Linked DNA regions of Bombyx mori. The protein of the gene in region 2 purifies or fractionates together with the protein of the main gene of each other region. This does not show direct contact. Links are inferred from orthologs where the notes say so. Each region holds a gene or a part of one and is shown on either strand. Other genes may lie near its edges. The genes, in order: nucleosome-remodeling factor subunit NURF301 and chromatin complexes subunit BAP18.

Evidence for each region.
Region 1: the proteins of chromatin complexes subunit BAP18 (region 2) and nucleosome-remodeling factor subunit NURF301 purify together in Homo sapiens (affinity purification with mass spectrometry; 5 studies listed by BioGRID and IntAct, with this or other methods). This does not show direct contact. The link is inferred for Bombyx mori from reciprocal best matches to the Homo sapiens genes BACC1 and BPTF.

Annotation. Positions count from the first base shown.
Region 1 is NC_085116.1:8,928,396-8,932,230, forward strand, and holds part of nucleosome-remodeling factor subunit NURF301, read right to left. Parts: intron 3,732-3,835; coding exon 3,449-3,731; intron 2,701-3,448; coding exon 2,231-2,700; intron 1,882-2,230; coding exon 1,654-1,881; intron 1,570-1,653; coding exon 1,397-1,569; intron 1,152-1,396; coding exon 954-1,151; intron 1-953. UniProt on the Homo sapiens protein: Regulatory subunit of the ATP-dependent NURF-1 and NURF-5 ISWI chromatin remodeling complexes, which form ordered nucleosome arrays on chromatin and facilitate access to DNA during DNA-templated processes such as DNA replication, transcription, and repair.
Region 2 is NC_085107.1:17,443,566-17,448,132, reverse strand, and holds the start of chromatin complexes subunit BAP18, read right to left. Parts: upstream 3,091-4,567; 5' UTR 2,966-3,090; coding exon 2,945-2,965; intron 2,870-2,944; coding exon 2,778-2,869; intron 824-2,777; coding exon 722-823; intron 528-721; coding exon 365-527; intron 1-364. UniProt on the Homo sapiens protein: Component of chromatin complexes such as the MLL1/MLL and NURF complexes.

The DNA.
Region 1 (3,835 bases), on a different chromosome or scaffold from region 2:
ATAAAAGATAAGAAATGGTGTTAATTAAAATAAAATATATTTACTTAGATAGGTATGGTGTTAATTAAAATAAAATATATTTACTTAGATAGATGTACTAGCTCACGATCGAAGTTATTGTTCACGTGCCAACAGAGTTTAATGAAAACGATATTTTCAGTGTCCGGACTCAAATCGTATGACCAATATTACTACGTTTACTTCCTGGTGGTGCTGACTGGCGCTAGGGTGTCTTGCGAGTCCGTACGGGTAGGTACCCTGCCTAATTCTGCTATAAAGCAGTAATACGTTTCGGTTTGAAGGGTGGCGTTGTACTGTAAAAATGGGGACTTAGAAATCATGTCTCAAGGTGGGTGGCGGAATTTAAATCGTTGATGTCTATGGGCTTTGGTCACCACTTGACTGACACCTCTCGTTCACTCGTTATATAAATAGAAAAACGTGTGAAAGTTTTACATATCATTATGCATTATAGATTTCGTTTAGTAACAATATCGCAGTCATATTTGCTTAAATTCAGGAGACAAGATACTTAAATTTAAATATGTCTGAAAATTTTATCAGACATATGATGCTATTATAGCATAAGATTTTGGAGATGTTCCGATGTTTTATTTCTGCTGAAAAGTAAGATAATTTGAGTTGCGTGGTAATGTTATTAGTATTGCATTGTCAGTTTATGGCAATATTGAAAGGACAATATTTCTATTTCAGTCAAGCTTTCCACTTTTTTTAATTTTTAGTAGCTTCCATTAGCTTAATAGTGCCATTGATGTATAAAATATTATACATTAAATATTCTCAAACAAGCTCATGAGTTTAGAGTTAATATTACCACTAAATAATAAGACATTATTAAAAATAAAAGAAATCAGTTGAAATAGATAAGCGGCATCTCGCCTATATATCTATAGATATATAGAATTCTCGAAAATAAATATTTCATTAAATACCTGATGACGAAGACCAAGAGAATATTTTACGAAATTGTAGGCGGTGCGATAACGCTCTTCTTCTTCATCTCTCTCTTTTTTCTCTCTTTTATCTAGTTTTTTTCGTTCTTCACGCTCAGCAGCAGTCGTGCGTATAAGCCTAACATGACCCAGCTGTTCATGCCATGCCGGTACCCATACAACATTTTTAATGCAAGCCTGTAATTACAAGAAATTAATAAATATTACATCACAAATTTAAGACTATTTTTCTATGCCATTAATCATATTAAAAGTGCCATTAATGAATGAAATTACTATACATATTTAACTATACCAGTTTGAACTATGAACATTGGTGGACCTTATGTGATACTGGTTAAATTACAACTGTGGCATATGATTATTTATTTTGCAATGAATGATTTTTTTTTTTTTTGCAAGTTGAAATATCTAAATTTTACCTGTAGCACACACAATGCCCTTGAGAAGTCACGTGGTGCTTGACAAAGTTGGACTGCTTGTACCCATGGTTTTCTCAATAAAGACCAATTTGGATGCATAAACTGTAGCACAATATTAGATTCTAACTGCAGCAGAGTCTGTCTCAAAGTTGCAACCAAGAATGGTTTTGTTGCTACAATGAAAAAATGTTTGTATTAAAATGGGACATAAATTTTTTTTTAAAGCCAGTTAGAATGAATTTTTTTTTAGTACATACCATTCAGAAGACCAACCCATTTGAACTCTTGAGTAGAAGATAGAGAAAACTTATGTGACATATAGCGTTTTTTGTCCCTTTCCTCGTTTCTTTGAGGTTTATTTAAAGCCAGAGAATTGCTTGCATACTGGTTAATGTAGGTCTTAAAATTATTTTCATTTCCTAATTTGAATAAATATGTTCCATTTGACATTTGATTAGATTTCTGCCTTGTTAATCGTTCAGAAACTGAAAAATACATTTTAAGTTTTTAATTATAGAAAAATCATCAAATTTATCAATATAAATTTATACAGGGTGTAAGGGAGACTGTCCCAAATATGAACTATACACCAGAAATTCATCATAATGAAAACAATACAAGCAAGCCAAACAGAATAACATAATGTAAATGCTTCATTGTTAGGCAATTGACTCGTTAATTGTCTTTTTAAATAATCACTTCATTAATCTATCTCATAAGCAATATGGCAAAATAAATAGAATATAAAACTTCAGGAGAATTTTTATGAAAACCTGCCAGAATCATTTTTAGTTCACTCACACCCTGTATATATTCATGTCTGATTTCTTTTACCTTCTTCTGATTTTTTTTTAATTATATTTTTAGATTTACATATTAACTGGTTAATACTCTTTTTGTCATCATCCTCATCTGTTGACTCTTCCTGTTCTATATCATTATTATCTTGAGAATCCTCACTCATAATAGTCACTTCATTTAACACATCACTATCCATTGTGGGTAGGTTATCAATTTTTCCATCCACTTTTAATTGTGGATTATTGTCTTGGTGCTTGTGTTCAGACCTATTTTTTTTTTGTTTGATGACATTTGTTTTTTCAGCTTCTAAGTATGATTTCCGATTTCCTTTCATTTGGTTAGTTAGACTCTCTGTTATGTCCATTTGCCTTAAAATTTCTTGCCTCATTTCTAATAGTTCACGAACTAATGGTGTTTCCATTTCTTCCGAGTCGAGAACATTCAACAATTCTTCAAACTGTTGAGGAGTACTGTAGTACCATACTTGACCATTCTCAGACTCACTGGAAAAAGTTTAATGCAATTATTAAAAACCTCTACACGCCCCCATTGTTAGTGAAGTTTTTTTGTAACAGTGGTTATTAGTTGGAATAAAGTTTTCCTAGTAGAATTTCATTTTCTATTCTCAAGAGTTCCAAGACTAAGAATAGATAAATAAATGCAAAAATAATACAATTGTACAATTGATGATAAACATAGTTTTAGCTGAACAAAGTATCTTAGAGAACTTTCAACTGTAATTTATATATGATGTGGAAAAAAGAATAAATAAAAAGTAACATTATCAAGAGCCAAATGCTTTCTATAATGTTTTCATTGTTGATATTGCATCTAAGGTGATTACTGGTTCCCATTGATTGTCAGTTTCGTATATGAATAAGTTATACATTTTATCTAGCAACCACTTTTTAAGTCAAGAGTTTAATGACTTGTCACTATTATAGAACAGGTACCTAGATTACTGGCCAAAATTTGTTTTCATGAAAAATTCGACTTTTTATTTATTTCCAGTACTAATAACAGATGAAAAAATCGCAACTCGGAATTATAAAATGTGAAATTCTTATTTATTTATATTAATATACAATAACATGTCATATCCAAAATTAGAAGAAGAATTATAGAATCTATTCTACTAAATGTTCCCATTTTTATATAATTTGATAAATGAAATGTTAATGCAATTATAGACAGTTGGGAGTGGACAATACAATACAAAAAGTAAAAGTCTTTTCTGTTTATTTTGCTTACACGAATATTCTCCTTGCAATGAACCAGTATTTTCTGCCCTGTCTATCAAATCCCAAATGTTCATGACGGCATAATAGACCTTGCTTCTCAGCATCAGGAAGACAATCAGTTACACCAACAGTCTTATGCTGCTTACACAAAGCACACTGCCAGTCTTCAGAAGGTACATCAAGTAAAGGAGGATCCACACACTCTAAATGATATACAGCAGGGCAGGTTTCACAGCACAGAAGGTCACCCAAGCGATGACACACTCTACAGTGATCATCATAATGTATTGGAACTGTAAAAAAGTAAGTGCTCACATGAGATTAATGTAATAATAATGTATATACAGTCAAAATCTGTTATAACGACATCGAAGGGACTGCTCATATTCAGTCGTAA
Region 2 (4,567 bases):
AGCAAAGGCATCTTAACTCCTTAAATAAGTTTTAAATATATAACTCCATTAGCTACAAGTACTCAATGAGTAATCAATGAGAGCAAAATTAAACAATCATTTTTCTACTGCAAATAACGTAATTAGTAAATTTTAATTATTTTTAATTGTTATACTGAGTTAAGTACTAATACGATCATGAACGTAATAATATGTCAAAAAATGATTGTTTTTGAATAGATAAAGATATCAATGCCATTGACTATAAAACCAGTGCATAAAATTGCAATAAGCATCCACTATACTGGCAGGAACAAGCTATCTTCTTATATATGTGATAGATAAGTGACTGTGCCATTTTTGTGTAATTAGTGAATTTCTGAACCTCGGCATTGTTTCCTATCACTGACTGCGGGATGATGGCAGCCAGTGGGGATGCTACCTGGGATTGTGGCTGACCCATATTTCCTGTTGTGCCGCTTACCTGTCTCACAGGTATACCTGCGTCTTCAAAAGCTTTCTTCTTCAACGTTGATCGAATTTGATTTCTAGAACGACAGGATATTTATGTTATTAACTGCCTACAGATTTGAAAATTATTTATGATATTTTAAATTGTGCTAAATGACCAATGACAAAAATAATGAGCTATCCCTCTTATTTGCGTTTTTTTGGTGTAAATATAGAGCATGATTGTGAAATTAACTATGGAGTGTATACAAATTGAATATGAGTGACTTACACTGTCCTATTCTTAATGTGTTGACTGAGTTTATTCAGGTCTACTGCAAATCTATGTACACAATTGCGCAGCATTTCTATTTCTTCTTCAGTCCATTTACCTCTGAAATTATGATGAATATATTCAGATAACTGTTTATTTAAAAAAAGGCCCATCTAAATAGAGCTTTATAAGACTATAACCAGAACATATTTTGCTGTAAGTTGAGCATTTACCTCACCAAATGTAGCAAGATTTGAAATAATTAATTGTTCTTTATTGTTAAAATGAAGGAGTTACTAGAAAAAGGCTAATGGTATGATTACTATACAGTACATATACATGTGTAATGCTTACGTTACTGAGGTTTAGTACTTGGTAGTGTACTTGGTAGTTCTAGGTACTAAGTATACACCTAGTAATAGAATTCTTAGTCCAGATGAAACACCTTTTGAAATTGTTTTATTGTGATAACATATATTAATGATTAATAATGTCTAACATCTTAATGGCCATCAAATTTGAGTTTTAAATTTTTTGTTAAATTTTTGTTACCAGTATCTTGGTTTGTGATTTCCTACAAATCATAATTTAAAACAATTGTATTTTTTTAATGGCCCTATGGGCTGTAGCACAATTTCCCATGAATAAGATAAAGTCCTCTGAAAAATTAACCAAAATTTATGGACCTAAACATTCAATCTTGTTGATGATATCACCAACCTATTAGCTAACCTCAGATTGTACTTTTTAAAGGGAAAGTGCAATGATGCAAATTCAATTCAAAGCATTTTTTTGAATCTGTAAGTCAGCATTGTTCTGTACAGCATAAGTCAATATTTAGGAATCCATTGGTTGTAAATATTTTTTTGTTTAGATAAATTGATGATCTGACAGCCCACCTGGTGCTAGGTGATTACCGACCTTGGTTAAGACATCAACAATGAAAATTTCACCACCTATTGTTAGAAATATGTTTGAAAGTATCTGTTTATGTTATAAAACAGTCCGTACCCCACCTTACAAACCGAAACAGTCGACTGCTTCAGGGCAGAAATAGGCTGTGTCTGGCAGTGCTAATGCTGGTACTAACCCACACGGGCTCACAAGATGCTCTACCACCAGTAATTATTAAAATTTTATTGGAGTTTACTCCTTTAGAATCGATTTACATATATAGGCCCGGGGTATGAAAATTATGGGGACCAAAATCGTACTAGCATGTCACACGAAATGCGTTATGCGCCTGATTGCGCATGTCACACGAAATGCGTTATCGCAGGTGACGCCGGGCTGCTGCGCCGGCAGTCCGCCACAAAGCCTCGTACTGATCGCGCGTTTCTCTCATTATTGTATTTTCATATATTTGTTAGTCGTTTGTTTTGTGTCTCGTTAATTTGTTAATAATCTGTAGTGTATCGTGTTGTCGTAATATAGAACTATTTCTCGTATTGTTTCGTTTAATTTTTTATATCCAGTAAACTCCAGTCGTGCGTCGGAGCGGACACACACACTTTTTTTTTTTGGTGGGTTTTCTTTTTATACTTTATGTTATTCCTTCATTGTGGAATTTACTCATGAATGTTATTATAAAACAGGTTCAGCCCCCACCAGGCTCCAGCTCCAGGTTTAGGTTTAGGTCCCACTTTTCTTGAAAGCATGACATAGACATGTATAGACAAGGTAGTAAATACCTAGGCATAATTAAATTCTAAATATTTTTATAGAAGTTTCAGACTATAATTGTACCATAGTCCAAAGAAAAGAATTATAATAATGAATTTGTACAATAATTATGGTTGCAATTGATTCAGTTATAGATGGTGTAAATGAACTGATATCGATCATCTACAAGTAATCAACAATTTGTAATTTGGTGGTGTGCGATGTGGAGAGCCTGTTGATTTTTTAAAGAAAAAAATATTACAATTTTTTCAAACTGACACGATACAGTTTGGTCGAGGAGGGTTTAAAAGAAAACGATATAATTATTATGATCATTTTCGGAGTAAAACTTGATATTTTTTATTTATGCAATCCTGGTATAAGCTTTCAATTTTAAAAATGATTTACTCACCCCGGCTGCGAATCTCCCATGGGATGAAGAAGCATTGTCATCTCTGATAATTTATTGAATGCAGTTCCCGCCTCTCTAAAAATTTCCCCAACCTATAATTATTTTAACGTTTGTAGTCCACTCATCTAATACGATAATTCCGTTAACCCAGACATCAAAATACTTACTTTAGCTGCAGAATTATTCATTTTTTGATAATTTATTGCAAAAAAATGCTTAATGCCAAACTACATATAACCAAAATCCAAAATCATAGATTAGATATTAAGTGTATAATCTATGGAATAGACATTAGACACATAATATATGTCCAAAATTATGAAGGAAGATTTTTTGTAAGACTTTTTATGACCTGATAACTAAGACCTTTGGGTCAAGTCTTATTTTAATTTTAATGATAGCTTTTATAAATGAATAATGATAGAAATGAAATGAAGTTGACTAATATGAAACATGGCATGAAATGAAATGAAAACGAAATGAAATGAGATGAGATGATATGGGATGAAGTATAATCTCAGTAAAATGGTGGTCATTTACTAAGACTTTTTCAGTGGACTTTTTAAAGTATCCCAATAGTTTACGTTCAGCGGCTTAGTTTCATTTTCCCACATTTGTGCACTTTCGCAGATACTAAACAGTTAGTAAACCACCGTTTTTAGACATTTAAATCTGAATAAACACTAATTAAACAAAATAAAACAAATCACACAACTTCACTCCTCGCATTCCCGCCAACAAGTCCTTACGAAGGCAGAGAAACGTCCTGGGTAACTTAAGCTTTCCGTGTAACATGAGCCCACTTACTCACTTTTTACATATCTATTGTTTTATTTCCAAACTAGATTCATTTTACTATAGACTTTGAAATTTTTAATTAAGAGGTTTATTATTGAACGAAGAAAGCGCGCCAAAATTTGATATTTGTCAGCAAAATTTTTCTTTCTTGAGTTCGATTGTGAAATGGTAGGGGTGTGACAAATGAAACATCGCTGCAAAGTTTTTTATATTCGTACTCAAAAGTTTCAAAGGTAAGTTTGTACTTTTTATAATAAGTAAATGTTGCAGATGTAGTTTCATAAAAAATCTATATAATCTATATAGTTGTATACGTGCTTGTCTTGATTTTAATTCGTTGTGTGAATATTTGTGCTAATATGGGTAACTTTAACCCGGGCAACAGTTAAAAATAAGCTGAAGAATGTGTCAAGAACATTCGAGAACTGCTAGAAGCTTCCACGGTGACTAACTGATGTAAGCTTCTTAGTTGAAATTATCAGCCATAAGTTGACGTCATTGTCAATCTGTTTTATTAGTTATTTGTCAATGTATCTAATGTAATCAAAGCAAATTTTACTGTTAATTTTAGCTTATTAAAACCTTATATTCAGTAAAGGTTTTCTCTTATTACAATTTAATAAGCTAAATAAATAAAAAAATGGATAGATATCTCCGCCCTGAAAGGTTTGATATCGACCCGTCAGATAGCTCTAGTACGAGAGCTTGGATACACTGGCGTAAAACTTTCGAAAACTTTCGAAAACTTCATTTTCGTGCAGAAGCCGACCGCTCCAGAAACAGATGCACAGTTGGTTCCTCCGCCAGAAAAATGGGACAGCATAAAGTTTCAACTTTTGGTAAACCATATATCACCAAATATCTACACATATATAAGCGAAGCTACGAACTACGAAGAAGCGATCACAATACTGCAAAAACTGTAATCCGATGCCTCCAATGAACACTACGCTAACTCCAAATTCGTAGATTTACAGGAGGAGCGTTTAAAC